Linked DNA regions of Anolis sagrei. The protein of the gene in region 1 binds, or shares a complex with, the protein of each later gene. Links are inferred from orthologs where the notes say so. Each region holds a gene or a part of one and is shown on either strand. Other genes may lie near its edges.

The links.
Region 2: KANSL1 (region 1) and KANSL3 share a complex: the UniProt entries of both Homo sapiens proteins name them as parts of the NSL complex. The link is inferred for Anolis sagrei from reciprocal best matches to the Homo sapiens genes KANSL1 and KANSL3.

The regions. Positions count from the first base shown.
Region 1 is NC_090026.1:44,095,136-44,105,619, forward strand, and holds the start of KANSL1 (KAT8 regulatory NSL complex subunit 1), read left to right. Parts: upstream 1-5,683; 5' UTR 5,684-5,766; intron 5,767-10,484. UniProt on the Homo sapiens protein: Non-catalytic component of the NSL histone acetyltransferase complex, a multiprotein complex that mediates histone H4 acetylation at 'Lys-5'- and 'Lys-8' (H4K5ac and H4K8ac) at transcription start sites and promotes transcription initiation.
Region 2 is NC_090027.1:22,753,929-22,764,384, forward strand, and holds the start of KANSL3 (KAT8 regulatory NSL complex subunit 3), read left to right. Parts: upstream 1-6,045; 5' UTR 6,046-6,186; intron 6,187-8,324; 5' UTR 8,325-8,390; coding exon 8,391-8,608; intron 8,609-10,456. Other genes in the region: DUSP11 (RNA/RNP complex-1-interacting phosphatase), read right to left, coding at 694-825, 1,096-1,171, 5,850-5,878. UniProt on the Homo sapiens protein: Non-catalytic component of the NSL histone acetyltransferase complex, a multiprotein complex that mediates histone H4 acetylation at 'Lys-5'- and 'Lys-8' (H4K5ac and H4K8ac) at transcription start sites and promotes transcription initiation.

The DNA.
Region 1 (10,484 bases):
AATTTTTTAGGTGTACAGGTTGTACATCCCTTATCCGGAAATCTAAAATACTCCAAAGTCCGAAATTGTTCGCATGGGTGGTTGATTTTCTTGTGGTTAAATGTTTGCGCACTTTGTTTCATACTGAAAATTGTTAAAATATTACATATACAATTATCTTTAAACAAAGATGAGGTATATGACACATAAATTAATTTCCTGTTTAGACTTGGGTCCCATCTCTATGAGATCCTATTATATACATAAGTGCAATATCCCATCTCTAAGAGATGGGACATTGCACTTATGTAATGATAGATATCCCAAAACCCGATAAAATATCCCAAACAATTTTGGTTCCAAACATTTTGCTTATTATACATTATTAGAGTGGACAAGTTAAATTGGTGTGATCCTATAGTACCTTACTCAGTATTGAAATCTGAAACTTTTTAAAAATAAAAGTTGCAAATAAACATTTCAAATTGTAAACAAGGGGAAAGAGAACTCTTGCTGGATTAAAGTTAAAATCATATAATTTTTCCCACTCCTTGATATTTGTTTTTCTTTGTTAATTTATGTTATTTTACAGACTTTAACCATTCACTCTTCTATTGTTGGGAGGTCTGCCTTCTTCCAGAACTGTGCATATGATCATGTAAACTTTGTTCTTGCTGCTATGATTATGTAAACTTTGTAAATTAAACATTTTAGTTTAATGCTTTTTTTGATTATTTGATATTCCCAATTACAATAATGTGGGCTCCAATTGTATCTTCGATTGAAAAATTTCTTGCAGTGTTTTTTGTACTTAATCCAGAATTCTCTTGCTTTTTTACAGGTCCACCGCATGTGGAAGAAATTTCCTTCCTGTTTTGTTTTTTAAATATTTATAGCATTTGTTGATCTTCTCTTATACATTTTAGCTAGTTTTGCTGGGGTCAGGTACCACCTGTTCATAACTTTATTTAAAAAATTAGCTAAGGTCATAGCACTGATTTTTTTTTAAGCCAATAGTCCAAATTTTCTAATTTATCTAGTTTTATGTTCTGCTTGATATTTTGTTACCCATTTAATCATACAATTATTTATCAGTTCTGTTTCAATTTCAATTTTTAAACTTTAAAAAAGAAAGAAGGAAATTTTTTAGACTGCTTCATAATTTAACCTGTAAGAATCAGTGTAGGGAATTAATAAAAGAATAATAGAAAAACAATGTAATAGGAAGGAATAACAAAATTATACCTCAATGTTTCCAACCCAAGGATGGGAAGCCACTAAATTGGGAGGGGTGGGAGGAGGGAAGGGTATAACCAAATATGAATACTGTTATAAATGTTAGGAAGTATTGTATTGATTCCTGCATATACACATGTATAGATTTGTTTCACTGTTTTTAAAATTAAGATGTAAACTGAAAATAAAAAATATATTAATCATCAAGTTAAAATTATAATTTTAAAATTTATGTTTTATTAATATTGGTGTTTTGGTATTTGTTCTATGTTTTCCCTATCCTATCCAATTTGTTGTCAATTCACTCCTTTGGGCTTAATGCAAATTTACCATTTCCAAAATATACGATCCTGTCTTTTTCTTTTCCATTTCTGGCTGAATATCTTAACCATTGGTTTGTCCCATCAAATATGAGATCTGCCCAAGAGGCACTGCTTGTAGTCTATTGTGATCCAGTTCATCAGTTGACATATCCATTGGCTATCGTTTGTTAGTACTATATGCCCTGTCAATCTTATTTTTGCTTCATAGATTTAATTGACCACGTCACGTACCCCAGTTCTTTGACACAGCTCTTTATTGCTGACTTTATCTTATCCTTCTTTCCATTGCTCTCTGAGTCACCACCAGTTTTTCCTCCTCTAACCTTGTTGTTGCCCATATTTCAGAAGTGTATATAATTGCCGGTAAAACTGTAGTGTTGAAGATATCTGCTGTGACTTTAATTGACAGCTTATCATCCGGGCGTCCCCTGGGCAACATCCTTGCAGACAGCCAATTCTCTCACACCAGAAGTGATTTGCAATTTCTCAAGTTGCTCCTGACATGACAAAAAAAACCTGTTTTAATGAGATTTTAAGGATTTAATATGTTTGTAATTATGTGTACTGTGTCACATTTGGTTTAAGTTGTCTTATGATTTATTGAGTTGTTTTTTTTATTTGTTTATATATTATTGTTGGCATTGAATGTTTGCCACTCTTATTTTGTTGTAAGCCGCCCTGAGTTTCCTTGGGAAGGTAGGGCAGGATATAAATAAAGTTTAATTGATTGATTCATCCATTTGCACTGTCCAGTTTTAATTAAAAGCCATCCAAGCAGCCTTGTGTCTTCTTTTCCAATTGTCATTTGTTGCATTATTTGACTGTACTTATTATCCAAGATATACATATTCTATGTTTTTAATACACGTATTTTATGGTCATTTGATTTATCTATGTATTTTAATTATGCTGTATCCTGTGTTGTTGTTATCACAAAAACTAGGCTGATAGCCAGAGTAAAGCAGTAACCCACAGTCACTTTGTGCCTGGACTCCCCCTCCCCAACATCCACTTCAAGATGCCTGGGCTTTAACTTGGCATGTCACACCTATTTCCCTTTTCCCTTACTTTGAGCCCAAAAAAGGATGGCAGGGGCAACCTTTGTGGGGTTTTGTTTCTGGGGAGGCCTTTCTCAAAATGAGGGGGAAAGGGGAGTATGGAAGTCTCCTCTTCCTGGCCTGAGGAGAAATTTGTGAAGGGGCAACCCTTTCCTGTTCTGAGGGTGGGTGGGGGGAGAATTATAAGTCTCCCCCTCACGTCCTGAGGAGAAATTTGTGAAGGGATAACCCTTCCTTGTTACCTATGGGGAAAAGGAATTATATGTCTCCTCCTCAGGCCTTGAGGAGAAATTTGTGAGAGTGGCGACCCTTCCTTGTTCTATATGGGTGGGGTGGTGGTGGTAATTAATTATAAGTCCCCTCCTCAGGGCCTGAGGAGAAATTTATGAAGGGGTGACACTTCCTTGTTCCATATGGGGAAAAAAGATAATCATAAGACCCCTCTCCTCAGGGCTTGAGGAGAAATTCGTAAAGGGACGACCCTTCCTTGTTCTATATGAGGGAAAAAGAGAATTAGAAGTCTTCCCCTCAGGGCCTGAGGAGAAATTCGTGAAAGGGCGACACTTTCTTGTAACCGATGGGGGGAAAAGAGAATTATAAGTCCCCTCCTCGGGCCCTGAGGAGAAATTTGTGAAGGTACAACTCTTCCTTGTTCTATATGAGGGGAAAAGAGAATTAGAAGTCTTCCCCTCAAGGACTGAGGAGAAATTCGTGAAAGGGCAACACTTTCTTGTAACCTATGGGGAGGAAAGAGAATTATAAGTCCCCTCCTCAAGGACTGAGGAGAAATTCGTGAAAGGGCAACACTTTCTTGTAACCTATGGGGGAAAAAGAGAATGATAAGTCCTCTCCTCAGGGCCTGAGGGACGACCCTTCCTTGTTCTATATGGGCGGGAGGGGGGGGGGAAAGAAAATTATAAATCTCCCCCTCGTGGCCTGAGGAGAATTTTGGGAGGGGGCAACGCTTCCTGGTCATTGGGGTGTGTGTGTGTGAATTATGGCAGTCTCCTCTTCAGGGACTGAGGAGAAATTTGGGAGGGGGAAACTCTTCCTGGTCCATTGAGCTGTGTGTGTGTGTGTGTGTGTGTGTAGAATTATGGAAGTCTCCTCTGCAGGGCCTGAGGAGAAATGTATGTGGGGGAAATGCTTTCTGGTCCATGGGTGTGTGTGTGTGTTTGTGTGTGAATTATGGAAGTCTCCTTTTCAGGGCCTGAGGAGTAATTTGGGAGGGGCAAACCCTTCCTGGTCCATTGAGGTGTGTGAGAGTGTGTGTTTGTATAGAATTATGGAAGTCTCCTCTTCAGGGCCTGAGGAGAAATTTGTGAGGGGGAAACGCTTCCTGGTCCATTGGTGTGTGTGTGTGTGTGTGTGTAGAATTATAGTAGTCTCTCTTCAGGGCCTGAGGAGAAATGTATGTGGTGGAAATGCTTCCTGGTCCATTGGTGTGTGTGTGTGTTTGTGTGTGAATTATGGAAGTCTCCTTTTCAGGGCCTAAGGAGAAATTTGTGAGGGGGAAACGCTTCCTGGTCCATTGCAGTGTGTGTGTGTAGAATTATGGAAGTCTCCTCTTCAGGGCCTGAGCAGAAATTTGTGAGGGGGGAACGCTTCCTCGTCCATTGGGGTGTGTGAGTGTGTGTGTGTGTGTGAGAGAGAGAGAGAGAGAATTATGGAAGTCTCTTTGGGGCCTGAGGAGAAATATGTGAGGGGGAAACGCTTCCTGGTTAATTGGTGTGTGTGTGTAGAATTATAGAAGTCTCTCTTCAGGGCTTGAGGAGAAATTTGGGAGGGGACAACCCTTCCTGGTCATTGGTGTGTGTGTGAATTGTGGAAGTCTCCTCTTCAGGACCTGAGGAGAAATTTGAGAGGGGGAAATGCTTCCTGGTCCATTGATGTGTGTGTCTGTGTAGAATTATGGAAGTCTCCTCTTAAGGGCCTGAGCAGAAATTTGTGAGGGGGAAACGCTTCCTTGTCCATTGGTGTGTGTGTGTGTGTGAGAGAGAGAGAAAGAGAATTATGGAAGTCTCTTTGGGGCCTGAGGAGAAATATGTGAGGGGGAAACGCTTCCTGGTCCATTGGTGTGTGTGTGTGTGTGTGTGTGTGTGTCTGTGTGTGTGAAGAATTATGGAAGTCTCCTCTTTGGGGCCTGAGGAGAAATATGTGAGGGGGAAACACTTCCTGGTCCATTGGTGTGTGTGTGTGTAGAATTATAGAAGTCTCTCTTCAGGGCCTGAGGAGAAATTTGGGAGGGGGAAATGCTTCCTGGACCATTGGTGTGTGTGTGTGTGTGTGTAGAATTATGGAAATCTCCTCTTCAGGGCCTGAGGAGAAATTTGGGAGGGGACAACCCTTCCTGGTAATTGGTCTGTGTGTGAATTGTGGAAGTCTCCTCTTCAGGGCCTGAGGAGAAATTTGGGAGGGGAAAATGCTTCCTGGTCCATTGGAGAGTGTGACTGTGAGTGTGTGTATAGAATTATGGAAGTCTCCTCTTCAGGGCCTGAAGAGAAATTTGGGAGGGGACACCCCTCCTGGTCATTGGTGTGTGTGTGAATTATGGAAGTCTCCTCTTCAGGGCCTGAGGAGAAATTTGGGAGTGGGAAACGCTTCCTGGTCCGTTGGTGTGTGTGTTTGAATTATGGAAGTCTCTTCCTCTTCAGGGCCTGAGGAGAATTTTGGTCGGTCTGTAAGGGTAAAGCCTCCGCTTTTCCTCTCCAAATGGCACCCCCCTCCCCTCCTTCCCCCAATCCACTCCTTCTCCATCTGACAGAGGAGTTGCTTTAAGGCTGAGCCTATTGGAATGCTTTGCTCTTTGACTGTTGCCTTTTAGGCTACTCCTGGGACTGGCTGAAGCACAGAGTGGGGGGCCTGAGGGGAAACATTGGGGGGGGGGGGGCTTGAATAACCGAGGAAGGTATTCCCCCCCCCCCCCCCCCCAGCCCCTCTCGATTTCCTCTCATGCCCAAGAACCACCAGGCAAAAGAAGCCTTGAGGTATCAGCATCACCCCCTCCCCCTTACTCCCCAGTTCGTCAAGCCCCGCCCTTTCGCCGTTGACGGACACGCCTTCTGCCAACCGCGACGGCTTAGGCCTTGGTGTCAGCCAATGGGGAGCGGAGGAGGGCGGAAGACTTCCCACCCCCTCCACCCCACTTCAAGGCTGGTTGAGCTGTGCAGGTAGGTGTTTGAGGGGGTCTTGGGAGCAGGTTGCCAAGCGGGCGCGACTCTGAGGGCAAGTAGGGAGAGGCTGTGCCTGGAGAGGGTGTCCCCTTCTCTCCCTCTCTCTCGGCAGGTAGGTGGGTCTGGCTGAGCCCGCGGAGGGGGTGCCATGAGGGGGCCAAGGAAGCGGCAAGGATGGCAGAGGGGAAAGGGGGGCTGGGGGCGTGACGTTGCAGAGGCATGCTCCCCTGGTAAGGACGAGGAAGGGGTTTGGGGGAGAAGGCACCCCCTTCCTTCCAACCGTCGCCACTCTCCTCCTCCTCCCCTCAGAGATGCCAAGGGAAGAAGCAAGTCTCGCTTCGAGTCCAGGCCAAGTCGAGGAAGAAGCCCCTTCCTGGACTCCTGGCAACTTTGAGCGGGAGGAGAGGCAATGGGGTGGCCGGGGGGAAGGAATAGGGCCAGGCCAGGAAAGGAGAGGAGTTAGTGGACGGGTTTATTTGTTTTTTTGAGGGGGGGGGGAGCGTGGTCGTGGAACAGCCTGTCCCCCCTCCTTCCCACACAGATCTCTATTAAGGGAAGGTGATGGGTGTAAGGCAAAATAAATAAATAAATGAAATCTATATAAATAAAAATGCAATGTTCGTTTGTGGGATTAACATAACTCATAAACCACTGGGCGAATTGACACCAAATTTGGCCACAAGACACCAATCACGCCAATGAGTGTCCATCACCCCTAAAAACACACAAAAAAACCCAGCCGAACGGACTTTAACCCCCCCCCCCCAATAAACCATACATACATATACACAACTATACACATATACACAATATACATATACACATGCACACATACATACATACAGACATATATATATACAGAAATATACACATACACTCAAGCACACACATATACACAATATATATGTACACATATAAACACAGAAATATACATATACACATGCACACATACAGACAGACATATATATATACACACAAGCACCCACAACTATACACATATACACCTATACACATACATATACACATACATATATATGCATTTACACAAGCACACACATATACACAATATACATATACACATATAAACACAGAAATATACATATACACATGCACACATACATACAGACATATATATACACAAATATACACATACACCCAAGCACACACATATACACAATATACATATACACATATAAACACAGAAATATACATATACACATGCACACATACAGACATATATATACACAAATACACATACACCAAGCACACAAATATATAAACACGTATACACATATAAATACACAAATATATACACAGACCTAAACACACATATACACACACAAAACACATATACACAGACTGGGCCACAGCAACGCGTGGCAGGGGTTGGCTAGTATATATATATATAAAAATAACTTTGGGAAGTTGTCTGCCTTTGGAGGCGGTTTGCAAGAGGGAAGGTAAGCCTCTCCGTCCCTCCTCCTTCTCCTCTTCCTCCTCCTCCTTCGCACTCTCCTGTGTGTGGGTATTTCTGCTCCAAATAGGAAACTCAAGGCAGGGAGAATAAGGGGAAAGGGGTGGCTAAGGCCCCACTGAAGAGAAGACTGGCCCGGTGGGTGAAAAGAAGGCCAACCATCCATTACTAAACCCAATTTGGAAGGAAGGAAGCAGGCCCTGTTTGTCATCTTGCCCAAGGCCCGGCTCTCAAGGGCCCTGCCTCTGATGTGGGTCCTAATATCACCAGAAAATTAAGGTTTTGCAATAGTGGGAGCGCCTTTCTGAGGGCACCCATTCCAGATTTCAGCCTCATCTTGACTGAGCGTGTAATGCTGTTTCAAAGCGGATCATTCAGTAGGAAATCCTGGAACCAGTTTCAGGCCTGGAGGGTGTGCAGAGCATTGGTGCACATTAATGCTTTATTTCTGCAGCTTTTGTGGGAATTTTGTTGCCTGGCTGCTGCGGTTTGAAGCTAGCTTTAAACTGCATTAAATGGTCAGTTTAGATGAGGCCTTCATTTGAGCCAGGGCTCTCAAACCTAAAATCTCTCACACACAGATATCACTACTTCCTCTTTCTCAATCAGTCCTACAAAATGGGGAGATATTTTATTATAAACAATTTGTAGTGACTGAGTTAAACCGATGTGGCCCTATAGTGACAAGTCAGAAACAAGTCTCTCACTGAGGCCCCATCTACACTGCCATATAAAATCAGATGATCTGCTTTGAACTGGATTACATGGCAGTATAGACTAATCCAGTTCAAAGCAGATAATCTGAATTTTATATGGCAGTGTAAATGCGGCCTGAGTTCAGGTAAGTGGGTCTATAGGACACTAGTTTAAAATTTCTGAACACCTGAGCAACTGAAGGTTGCTTATATAAATATGAGGATTATGTTTGGGTCTTTGGGTATCTTGTTTCTAGATAGTTCGGGGCTTAAGTTTCTTTCCCTTAGAATTGTAGCTTGGACATCCCATTATTAATTTTTTTAAGCTTTAGGACAGAGATTGGGTAAAGTGCAGTATTGGGGCTGCACATGACTCTGTTTTTCCTGCCTGCCAGTCCTCCACACTGTTTAAAAATACATTTTTTGTCAAGTAGAAGTAAAGTTCTGGTTTTGGGAGAAGAGTATATTTGGGTGGCCTGTGCAATCCCCAGAAAGTCCGAAGGACAGCACATGGGTCCCCTGGACCTATTACAAATCATAGGGAGGAATGTTCATAGAATATCATGGAGGTAGAAATAAGGAATCTGCCATTTTTATTGTTCTAGAGTTGTAATTTTTACGGAAGAATATTGCAAAACTAAGATACCTTTTTAAAATCTTCAAAACAATTAAATTTTATCAGCCTGTGGATGTTGTGTACTTCCTAAAATCCACTAATGATATATACATAGAGACACTAGCATTTAGGAAAAGCTTAAATATGTATTGAATAAAAAATAGAATCATAGACTCATTCAGTTGGAAGAGACCCTGTGGGCCATCTAGTCCATCCCCCTGCCAAGAAGCAAGAAAATCATATTCTTGTGCTAATTCAATTAGTTGTGCTAATTCAATATGATAAATATTAGCCAGTTCCAAAAATCAAAATTTCTACCACTGTAAGATAAAATGGGGCTGTTCAGATAATAGCACAATTTTATGCAAGTCTATTCAAATGTACGGTTCATTATGTTCTATGGGACCTACTTCAATGTATGTGTGTTGCAGCTGCAGTTTAAAGTAATTTAATAAGCGAGGACACCTCCTTTTCCAAACTCTTTATTGGGTCAGGGGAAATAGAGCAGTGACCTCCCATATTTTTTCCCATGGATCTGTTTCTGACAGAAACTTTGTAACAGCAAGAGAAAAATCAAAATTCTGTGCATTTTCAGGGTGATTGGTTCTTTTTGATTTTTCCATTGACTGAAAAGATTTTAGATTTTATTTTTTGATTGTTGAGGAAACAATATGACCAAGATAGGTCTATCATAGGATGTGTGTGTGTACACATGCACACTTAGATCACACAAGCAGAGAGAAACTAATTGAAAATGAAGTTAAATTTGTAAAACTGGTGGTTTGTTTGATCAGTCAATATTTGATTTTGTTTTTTGGACTCCTCTGAAATTGTATATTTGGAGGTGTTAAAAAAAACTATATCAAGAGTTTTTACATCTAAACCTTGCATTTTCTTCTTGGTATAGTTTGTTTCTAATGTACATGTCTGTGATTAAGTCACCATTAGGTTTTGCATTAGGGAATACTAATAAAATACACTGGTACTTGTCTTTTATAACTTGGTATTCCAGTTTTTATTCTCATAAAAGAACCAAAGTCTACGTAGCTACAAACCATGGTGCAGGGAATACAAAATAATGTAAACCGTAGGTGTATTTATAATCTATTTTTAGTCCAATCAATAGTACATAAATAGTTTTAATGACATATAAATAATCCTGTCAAATAACTATCTGTGAAAAGAACAGTTGTCTTTTTAAACATGAAATTTCCATAAACAAAAGCTACCACCCAGTTAGAAGGAAAGCTCCTTGAGGGTAAAATTAATAAAGTTTTCACCCTTTCCTTTGTAATTTTTCTGCTTTTTCCTCTGATCAGTGATAGGTTCTTTAACACTAGGAAAGATTTTGCATTGAAATTAACTGCAGCGTTAGAAGGTTATGCATAGAACAAGAGCTCTGGTGGGAAAACTATCTGTAGTTTCCCCAGTCCCCCCCCCCCCCACCCCCATTTGTTTATTCAATATTTTATTCAAAACTTTAACAGAAAAATACAAATAAATCCACAGTACTGATACATTAACATACTTGATCAAGTTTCTTCCCCATTAAAATGCTAGTATGCTGTATTAGTTTGAGTGTTAAAATAGAACACTGGGAGACCAGAGTTTGAATTCCCATTAAGCTCAAGAAACCCATAGGATCAGTTTTTTAATCATTCTCTTGGCCTCAGAGGAAATCAGTGACACGTTTGTTAAGATAGGTCTATCATAGGATTGCTGTAAACTGGTGTTGTTGTAAAGGCATAGAACAGGAAAACTACATATATTTTGAAATCTTCTTTTTATCCACAAATGCTTATGCATTGCAAGAATTAATTATCTCCAAATCTTTCAATATGTAATACCTCTACTACAAATTATGCAGGCAAGATAAGACTTAAATTTGTGAGTACAAACTGGTCTATGAAGAGCAGACAAGTGACATGTT
Region 2 (10,456 bases), on another chromosome or scaffold:
AGGGGTCACCAAAGATCATCAGAAAACACAGTATTTTCTGTTGGTCATGGATGTTCTGAGTGGGAGGTTTGGCCCAATTCAATCATTGGTGGGATTCAAAGGGATCTTTGATTGTGGATGAACTATAAATCCCAGCAACTATAACTCCCAAATGTCAAGTCTATTTTCCCCAAACTCCATCAGTGTTCACATTTGGTCATACTGAGTATTCCTGCCAAGCTTGGTCTAGATCCATCATTGTTTGAGTCCACAGTGCTCTCTGGATGTAGGAGAACTACAAATCCAAAACTCAAGGTCAATGCCCACCAAACCCTTCCAGTATTTTCTGTTGGTCATGGGAGAACTGTGTGCCAAGTTTGGTTCAATTCCATCATTGGTGGGGTTCAGAATTTTCTCTGATTGTTGGTGAACTATAAATCCCAGCAACTACAACTCCCAAATGACAAAATCAATCTCCTCGACCCCACCAGTATTCAAAATGAGGCGTATTGGGTATTTGTACCAAATTTGGTCCAGTGAATGAAAATACATTCTGTATATCAGATATTTACATTACAATTCCTAACAGTAGCAAAATGACAGTGATGAAGTAGCATCAAAAATAATGTTATGTTGGGGGTCACTGTATTAAGGAAAGTTGAGAACCCTTCGTCTATCCTAAAGCTGAAGGTACAGCTCATAAATAGAACTGACCTTTGGCTGGTAATAGCGGGTGGTGTACGTCAAATCAATGATCAAACCCAGATCTTCCTTCTGCTCCCTGATTTGATTGATGAGGTCTTCTGGAGTAAAGCGCTCTTGTGGGGCGAGCTTAAATCCAAACCTCTGGAAAAAAAAGTCAGACAATTCAGCCATATCTTCTGAGCCGCCATCAATCTCTGGGACGTCTTTTGACCCATCAGAAGCAGAGTCCATATTTGCATAGTCAGGTATTCCTTGACTTTATCCCATGCTTTGTTCGCAGAGAGGTTATTATTGTATACCTTCAAGGCAACTATACAAGTTACATTGTCAGCCCATAGTTTTACCCACTCATCACTATTTCATTACAAGAACCAGAATGGAAATTAAACTTCTACCTACGTTGCAACTTACCTCGTGAAGAGGAACTTTAAAGGCAATGAAGCGCGTCTTGGGTAGTCTTCTTCCAAGAGGTAAATAATTCGTCCATCTAGAAAAAGAAACATTGCAATTTTCTACTACTGTACAAAAACAGATAGGAAAGGACAGGAGCAATCAGATGGACCAAGAGAAAGACTGCAAGAAGCAGACAGGCTCATTTGGAGGAAAGTATTTTCATTCAACTACAAATCCCATCAGACATATTCAGCATTGTTATTTTTTTATTATTATTTACAGCATTTATATACCGCTTTTCTCACCCTGAGAGGGACTCAAAGCCGTTTACACATAGATAATGGCAAAAATTCAATGCCTTACAACTACAACAGTAAAACCACACTTTAAACATAAATCATATTAAAAACAGTACATCATCAAATATCAAAACAGTTATTAAAACCATAAAACAATCCCATCAGTCGAGTCACCGTTCCAGTCCTTGTCCCACTAAAAGCTGCATACATGTATTGTCCGAAAGCCTGGTCCCAGAACCATGATTTTAATTTTTTTCTAAAGGTCAGGAGAGAGGGAGCAGATTTTACCTCCTTTGGGAGTGTGTTCCATAGGCGGGGGGCTACAGCCGAGAAGGCCATGCTCCTCGTGCCTGCCAGCCGCATTTGCGCTGTTGACGGGAACAAGAGCAGGGTCTCCCCGGATGATCTTAAATTGCAAGATGGGACGTAGGGGCAGATGCATTCGGGCCGTATAGAGCTTTATAGGTCAAAACCAGCACTTTGAATTGGGCTCGGAGATGGACTGGCAGCCAGTGGAGCTGGCATAACCGGGGGGGGGGGGGGGATGCTCCCTGTATGTGGCCCAGTTAGTAATCTGACTGCTGCCCGTTGAACTAACTGAAGTTTCAGAACCGTCTTCAAAGGCAGCCCCACGTAGAGCGTGTTGCAGTAATCTATTAGGGATGTTACCAGAATTTACCAGTAGTTGCTGCATTTCCCACTTCGGCTTATACTTATGTGGAGATTGGGTCCACGTTGACTTTAAATGTTTTTAGGATTAACATTTATTGCTGCTCTGCATTCCTTTCTATGCCTTTATTTTTTGCACATTCTTGAAAGTGCAGGAATGAGCACCTGAGCACAGAATCGAACTCTGATGTCTGGAGCAGTATAGATTACTTGGCCAAACTTCAGAAATGTTACATTAGTTAAAGCTTGCTCTGGCACTTGCAATTTGGTATATTAATTGTACATGCATTATCTAGCTGCTGTCTTCCTATGTGTACTATTGGGTTCATTTATGGGGCACAGCTTAATTAACTCACCACACTGAAGTCATTTCAGATTATTGGGTACAAAAGCAATCTAATGTATGATGAAGAGTCTGAAAGACACAAGCAGGTACCCACACTGTCTTCCTTTTATAGGGATTTGAAGTCTTGGATGTTTAAACTAGCCTTTGAGAATGTGTAAGATAAAAGTAGGCTCTGAATTGGGGAATCTTTGCAGAAGTCAAAGTGTCGGTTACATTTGTGTATTGTGTGGATTTTGTCGCTGCCTGTTTTTGTGTTGGGCTTTGGGTCCGAGTTCTGCAGCCTGGAGTTCCTGTGTGTGTTCGACTTGGACTGACTTCTCGTGAGTGTGGTTTTCTCCCTTCCTGGATCTCAGATTGGTTTGACGATGACACTGCTTGACGGACTTGGAAACGACACTTCTTTGGATTTCACCTATGACGACTCTTGGACTTTGTCTGGCTTTGGTTACTCTTTCGGCGGTTTATCTTTGCTGTTAACTGTTTGAGTGCGGTGTTGTTTGTTTGCCACTAAGTACTGCATTTAATCCAGTTCTTTTCTCTGGTTAATCCGAATTATGTTTCTGTTTGCTTTTTAAACCAAGGTTGGCTAATTTTTTGAGTTTTAGCCAGAGGCACTGAAGTTAAGCGTCTCTGAGCTTCTGTGTTTTTGTTGCATTAAACTGTACTTTGGAACTAATACTTTGTGTGGCCCCTTTAAGGCGTCTGTGTCTCGACAGTTTGAGTCCACAGTGATCTCTGGATGTAGGTGGACTACAACTCCAAAACCAAAGGACACTGCCCACCAAACCCTTCTAGTGTTTTCTGTTGGTCATTATTATTATTATTATTATTAACTTTATTTATACCCCGCAAAATCTCCCGAAGGACTCGATGCGGCTTACAAAGGCCAAGGCCGCAACAACAACATACAAATATAACATAAAACTCATAAGCAAATAATAAAACATCAAGCTAAGACAATAAAACACTAAAAACAACGACACATGATGCATTTAAAATCTAAAAGGCCGGGCCAAATGTAATGGACAAAATTTAAAAGTGCTGAACTTGACAGGAGGTATGTAGAGGTTTGTTGGAGGTAGGTTCAATGTGCAGACAATCCTAGTCTCTAACAAAGTGCATTTGGGACATGATGCCAGGAGTTTCCTAATCTGGAAAGGCACACTGGAACAGCCAGGTCTTCAGGCTCTTCCTAAAAATTGCCAATGTTGGGGCTTGTCTGATGTCCTTGGGGAGAGTGTTCCAGAGTCGGGGGGCTACCACAGAGAAGGCCCTGTCCCTCGTCCTCACCAAACTCGCTTGCAACGCAGGTGGGATCATGAGCAGGGCCTCTCCAGATGATCGAAGGGAATGTGTGGGTTCATATATGGAGATCTGTGTGCCAAGTTTGGTTCAATTCCATCGTTGGTGGGGTTCAGAATGTTCTTTGATTGTAGGTGAACTATAAATCCCAGCAACTACAACTCCCAAATGATAAATGGTGGTCCCTCGGCTGTGGAACACCCTTCCCACGGACATTAGACTAGCACCATCTCTAATGATATTCCGCAAGAAATTGAAGACCTGACTGTTCAAGCAGGTGTTCGAATAATTAGTGCAGTGATTGGTAATGAATATAGGAATGGAACAACGGAAGACAAATTTGGATTATGTTTTGGATGATGACACGACGCTGAATGGTTATCATAGTAATGGTGTTAACTGTGTATAGTGTTAGGTTGTGAATTGTTTTTATTCTGTAGTTTTGAATCTTGCTGTTCTTGTTTGTTGTACACCGCTGTGAGTCGACCCCGGGCTGAGAACAGCGGTCTATAAGTAAAGTAAATAAATAATAAAATGATAAATCAATTTTTTTGAGTGAAGGACATACATTGGGTTGTTAGATGTCTTGTGTCCAAATTTGGTGTCAATTCGTCCAGTGGCTTTTGAGTTCTGTTTATCCCACAAACGAAGATTACATTTTTATTTATATAGATATTATATTGAATTGCTTTGTATTGTTGTTATTGCTTTTCTGTTGTGATGTGTTGTTGGGTTTGGCCTCATGTAAGTCGCTCCGAGTCTCTTGGGGGGATGGTGGCGGGGTATAAATAAAGTTTTATTACATTATTATTATTATTATTATTATTAGGTTCTTGAAGGTTTTTCAGGCTATAGGGCCATGTTCTAGAGGCATTTCTCCTGACGTTTCGCCTGCATCTATGGCAAGCATCCTCAGAGGTAGTGAGGTCTGTTGGAATTAGGACAATGGGTTTATATATCTGTGGAATGGCTGGGGTGGGGCAAAGAGCTCTTCCCTGCTGGAGCTAGGTGTGACTGTTTCAACTGATCACCTTCATTAGCATTTGAAGGCCTGCCTGAGCCTGGGAAAATCTCTTGCTGGGAGGTGTTAATCTGTGCCTGGTTTTTTCCTCTCTGTTGTTTTGCTGTTGTAATTTTAGAATTTTTTAATACTGGTAGCCAGATTTTGTCCATTTTCATGGTCTCTTCCTTTCTGTTGAAATTGCCCACATGCTTGTGGATTTCAATGGCTTCTCTGTGTAGTCTGACATGGTGGTTGTTGGTGTGGCCCAGCATTTCTGTGTTCTCAAATAATATGCTGTGTCCAGGCTGGTTCATCAGGTGCTCTGCTGGTTGAAGTAGTCTGCAGTGCCTTTCAAGTTCCTTGATTCGTGTTTGGGCAATGCTGCGTTTGGTGGTCCCTATGTAAACTTGTCCACAGCTGCATGGTATACGGTAGACTCCTGCAGAGGTGAGAGGATCCCTCTTGTCCTTTGCTGAACGTAGCATTTGTTGGATTTTCTTGGTGGGTTTGTAGATTGTTTGTATGTTGTGTTTCCTCATCAGCTTCCCTATGCAATCAGTGGTTCCCTTGATGTATGGCAGGAACACTTTTCCTCTGGGTGGATCTTCATCTTTACTCTTGTGGCTTGTTCTTGGTCTTGCAGCTCTTCTGATGTCTGAGGTGGAGTCTCCATTGGCCTGGAGAGCCCAGATATATAAACCCATTGTCCTAATTCCAACAGACCTCACTACCTCTGAGGATGCTTGCCATAGATGCAGGCGAAACGTCAGGAGAAATGCCTCTAGAACATGGCTCTATAGCCCGAAAAAAACCACAAGAACCTAGTGATTCCAGCCATGAAAGCCTTCGACAATACATTAATTTAAATACTTTCACATTACCACAATCAGTGGATTTTGGTCTCCACAGTTTTAGAGGAACCCATTTTTCTTTTCAGTTTTACCTTCGATGCCAGGCATGAGCCAACTTGGGCCCTCCAGGTGTTTTGGACTTCAACTCCCACAATTCCTAACAGCCTAACGGCTGTTAGGAATTGTGGGAGTTGAAGTCCAAAACACCTGGAGGGCCCAAGTTGGCCCATGCCTGGCCTAGGCTCTCCCTTCTTTCAGGTTGGGCCAGGAAGGCTCTGTGTAATCCGGTCTCACGTTCTTACCTATCCGGTAGCTTGTTCTTCTTTCCCATTTCCTTTCCTCAGGCCTCTGCTTCCAACGAGGCGCTTCCCTCGAGTCCCTTCCTACCAAAGTCGGTTAAACATCCGCTTCCGTTTTTTTGCGCCGACGTGCTGGGGTGACGTCACCGCGTCGGGACAGGGGAGGCTCGGCGTCCAATCAGCGTCGAAGGGGGAAAAAAAAGAAGCGCGCATGCGCAGAAGAGGCTGAGGCCTGCCTGGCTGGCGGCCGGGGCTAAAGTGAGAGTCTCGCCTGCTTGTTTTCCTCTTCCCTCAACGTCTCTCCGTTCAAGCCCCGTCGGGATCGAGGCCGCTCTTAAAGGTGAGTAAAGGCCTTTGGGCAACTCTGCACATACTCAACAGCGGCCCTGTTCCAATATCATGCTCTCCTGACGTTTCGCCTGCATCTGTGGCAAATGGCACCTTCAGAGGGTCTTCAACAGAAAGGAGGAAACCATGAAATTGAACAAAATCTGGCTACCAGTATTTAAAAAACTCTAAAATTGCAACAGCAAAACAACAAAGAGGAAACAATCAGGGACATCTAATCACCCCTCAACAAAAGATTGTCCCAGGCACTGCCAGTCCATCAAATCCTAATCAAGGTGGTCAGTTGAAACATTCACACCTACCTCCAACAGACAAGAGTTCTTTGTCCCACCCTGGACATTCCACATATATATAAAAACCCAATTTTCTTTGCTCCAACAGACCTCACAACCTCTGAGGATGCTTGCCATAGATGCAGGCAAAACGTCAGGAGAGAATAGCATTTCACTATTGGCTGCTACTTCCCGGCGGATGCCAGGTGGTGCAATACCGGCTAAGCAGTGTAATTTCTCCAGTGGTGTAGGGCGCAGGCACCCCGTGATAATGCGGCATGTCTCATTAAGAGCCACATCCACTGTTTTAGTGTGGTGAGATGTGTTCCACACTGGGCATGCATACTCAGCAGCAGAGTAGCACAGCGCAAGGGCAGATGTCTTCACTGTATCTGGTTGTGATCCCCAGGTTGTGCCAGTCAGCTTTCATATGATATTGTTTCTGGCACCCACTTTTTGCTTGATGTTCAGGCAGTGCTTCTTGTAGGTAAGAGCACGATCCAGAGTGACTCCCAGGTATTTGGGTGCGCTGCAATGCTCCAGTGGGATTCCTTCCCAGGTAATCCTCAGAGCTCGGGATGCTTCTCTGTTCTTGAGATGAAAGGCACATGTCTGTGTTTTAGATGGATTAGGGATCAGCTGGTTTTTCCTGTAATAGGCAGTAAGAGCACCTAGAGCTTCGGAGAGCTTCTGTTCAACCATCTCAAAGCTCCTGCTTGAGCAGTAATGGCACGATCATCTGCATAGATGAAACTCTCTGTCCCGTCTGGCAGTGGCTGGTCATTTGTGTAGATGTTGAACGTGGATGGAGCAAGCACGCTCCCCTGAGACAGGCCATTCTTCTGTTTCCGCATACATTGCGATGTTTTGGTACTATATTTGTAAATACAGTAATTAATACATAACGTTACTGTGTTGAACTGCTTTTTTTGTTGATTTGTCGTCAAACATTATGTTTTGGTGCTTAATTTGTAAAATCATAAGGTAATTTGACATTTAATAGGCTTTTCATTAATCTGCCCTTATTATCCAACATTTTTGCTTATCCAACATTCTGCTAGCCCATTTGTGTTGGATAAGCAAGACTCTACTGTACTAAAAAAAACCCTCTAAAATCAGAACAGTAAATAAAGAGCAACACTCAGAAAATATGGAATAATCAGGGCCAGTTTACCCCTCCCAACAAAGGATTTCCCCAGGCAGGAATCAGCCAGGTGAGTAATTGCAGCATTCACACTGGCCTCCAACAGACAAGAGTTCTTTCTCCCACCATGGGCCTTCCACATATATTGCTTAGTTTCCAATATACCTCACAACCTCTGAGGATGCCTGCCATTGATGTGGGCGGAACTTCAGGAGAAAATGCTTCCGGAAGCTGGTCATACAGCCTGAAAAACTCACAGCAACCCAAGGATACTGCTGTCCACTTCTCAAACATTTGGATTGAGTCACCTTATGGACCCAGGTAGTCCCATAGTATAGGATTTACTATATACATAGTAAATATACATAGTTATATATATATAAAACGGCGCTCCATGCAGTCATGCCAGCCACATGGCCTTTGAGGTGTCTACGGACAATGCTGGCTCTTTGGCTTAGAAATGGAGATGAGCACCACACCCCAGAGTTGGACATGACTGGACATAATGTCAGGGGAAAACCTTTACCTTTTATATGCATAGGAATGCACAATATGAACTCCTGGAAATCTTGGGAGGTGCTTCTGCAGGCCCAAACTCATAGCAGATCCTAAATTTACAGACCCAGGCTCCAATCTGTATCAGCAGCCCCTCAGAAATAAACAGATGTGTGAAGAAGCCAATTTCTTGGTGCTTCTCTCTTCCTTTCCTGCCAGGGACCAGGATGAGGGGCAAGAGGAGTCCTTTGCCCCAACGGCGTTAGCAGCCAAAGACGTGGAGACATGTCATACCGAGGCAACGAACGCGATTTCCAGACCTCTGCACGGAGAATGGGGACCTCCCTGCTTTTCCAGCTGTCGGTCCACGAGAGAGAGCTGGACCTGGTCTTCCTGGATCACAGCTATGCCAAGCCCTGGAGTGCCCACCCAGATGCCAGCAATGCCCGCCCTACCCGCCTGCTCTTTGTGACACCTAAGAGGCACCAAGACAGCGGCACCATGTAAGTGTCACTCGTCTGTCTCGCTGTCTGTGCATGTTGACTTAGGAAGATCTCTTGACTTAGAAACCTACAGGATCCCCAATCCCAATCTTACAAATTCTGGGAAACTGTTGCTGCTTAGATTGAATCAGTCCATCTGTATTGTATTTTCTCTTTTTTTTTCTTGCTTCCACTTTTCCAAGTGTTATTGTCTTTCCTAAGAAGTAGCATTGTCTCATTCTATGACCAAAATACCGAGAATCCAGGCTTGGTTTGTTCTCGGACCCATATGTTTGTCTTTTTTAGTGGTCTGTGGTCTCTTCTAGCTCTACATTTCAAATTATTTGATTCCCCCCCCCCCTTTACTGTCCAATTTTAAATTCCACAGAGAAATCACAAATATGATTGATCCTCACTTCCTTATTCCGTTCTATATCTGCTTAGTTTAGTCTAAAGCCCCCTGGGGAGTCACAAGGGGGTGTCAGAGGAATCGCCAAACACCATCAGAAAACACAGTATTTTCTGTTGGTCATGGAGGTTCTGTATGGGAAGTTTGGCCCAATTCTATCCTTGGAGGAGTTCAGAATGCTCTTTGATTGTAGGTGAACTATAGATCCCAGCAACTACAACTCCCAAATGCCAAGGTCTATTCCCCCCCCCTTTTTTTGGTCGTGTCAGGAGCAACTTGAGAATCTGCAAGTCACTTCTGGTGTGAGAGAATTGGCCGTCTGCAAGGACATTGCCCAGGGGATGCCCGGATGATTTGATGGGTTTTTTTTTTATCATCCTTGTGGTAGGATTCTCTCATGTCCCCGCAATTGGGAGCTAGAGCTGATAGAGGGAGCTCATCTGCCTCTCCCTGGATTCGAACCTGCGACCTGTCGGTCTTCAGTCCTGCCGGCACAGGGGTTTAACTCACTGCGCCACCGGGGGCTCCATTATTTTCTCCAGTATTCAAATTTGGACATATCGGCTATTTGTGCCAAGTTTGGTCCAGATCCATCATTGTTTGTGCCTACAGTGCTCTCTGGATGTAGGTGAACTACAACTCCAAAACTCAAGGTCAATGCTCACCAAACCCTTCCAGTTTTTTTGTTGGCCATAGGAGTTCTGTGTGCCAAGTTTGGTTCAATTCCATTGTTGGTGGAATTCAGATTGTTCTTTGATCACAGATTAACTATAAATGCCAGCAACTACAACTCCCAAATGACAAAATCCATCCCTCTCCAACCCCACTAGTATTCAAATTTGGGAGGATTTAATATTTGTGCCAAACTTGGTCCAGTGAATGAAAATACATCCTGCATATCAGATATTTACACTAGCCGTCCCCTGCCACGCATTGCTGTGGCCCACATGGGGGTTCTGTGTGGGAAGTTTGGCCCATTTCTATCATTGGTGGGATTCAGAATTCTCTGTGATTGTAGGTGAACTATAAATCCCAGCAACTACAACTCCCAAATGTCAAAATTCTATTTCCCCCAAACTCCACCATTGTTCACATTTGGGCATATTGAATATTCGTGTAGGGTTTGGTCCAGATCCATCATTGTTTGAGTCCACAGTGCTCTCTGGATGTAGGTGAACTACAACTCCAAAACCAAAGGACACTGCCCGCCTTCCAGTATTTTCTGTTGGTCATGGGAGAACTGTGTGCCAAGTTTGATTCAATTCCATCGTTGATGGGGTTCAGAATGCTCTTTGATTGTAGGTGAACTATAAATCCCAGCAACTACAACTCCCAAATGACAAAATCATTTTTTTTAGTGAAGGACATACATTGGGTTGTTAGGTGTCTTGTGTCCAAATTTGGTGTCAATTCCCCCAGTGGTTTTTGAGTTCTAGTAATCCCACAAACGAACATTACAT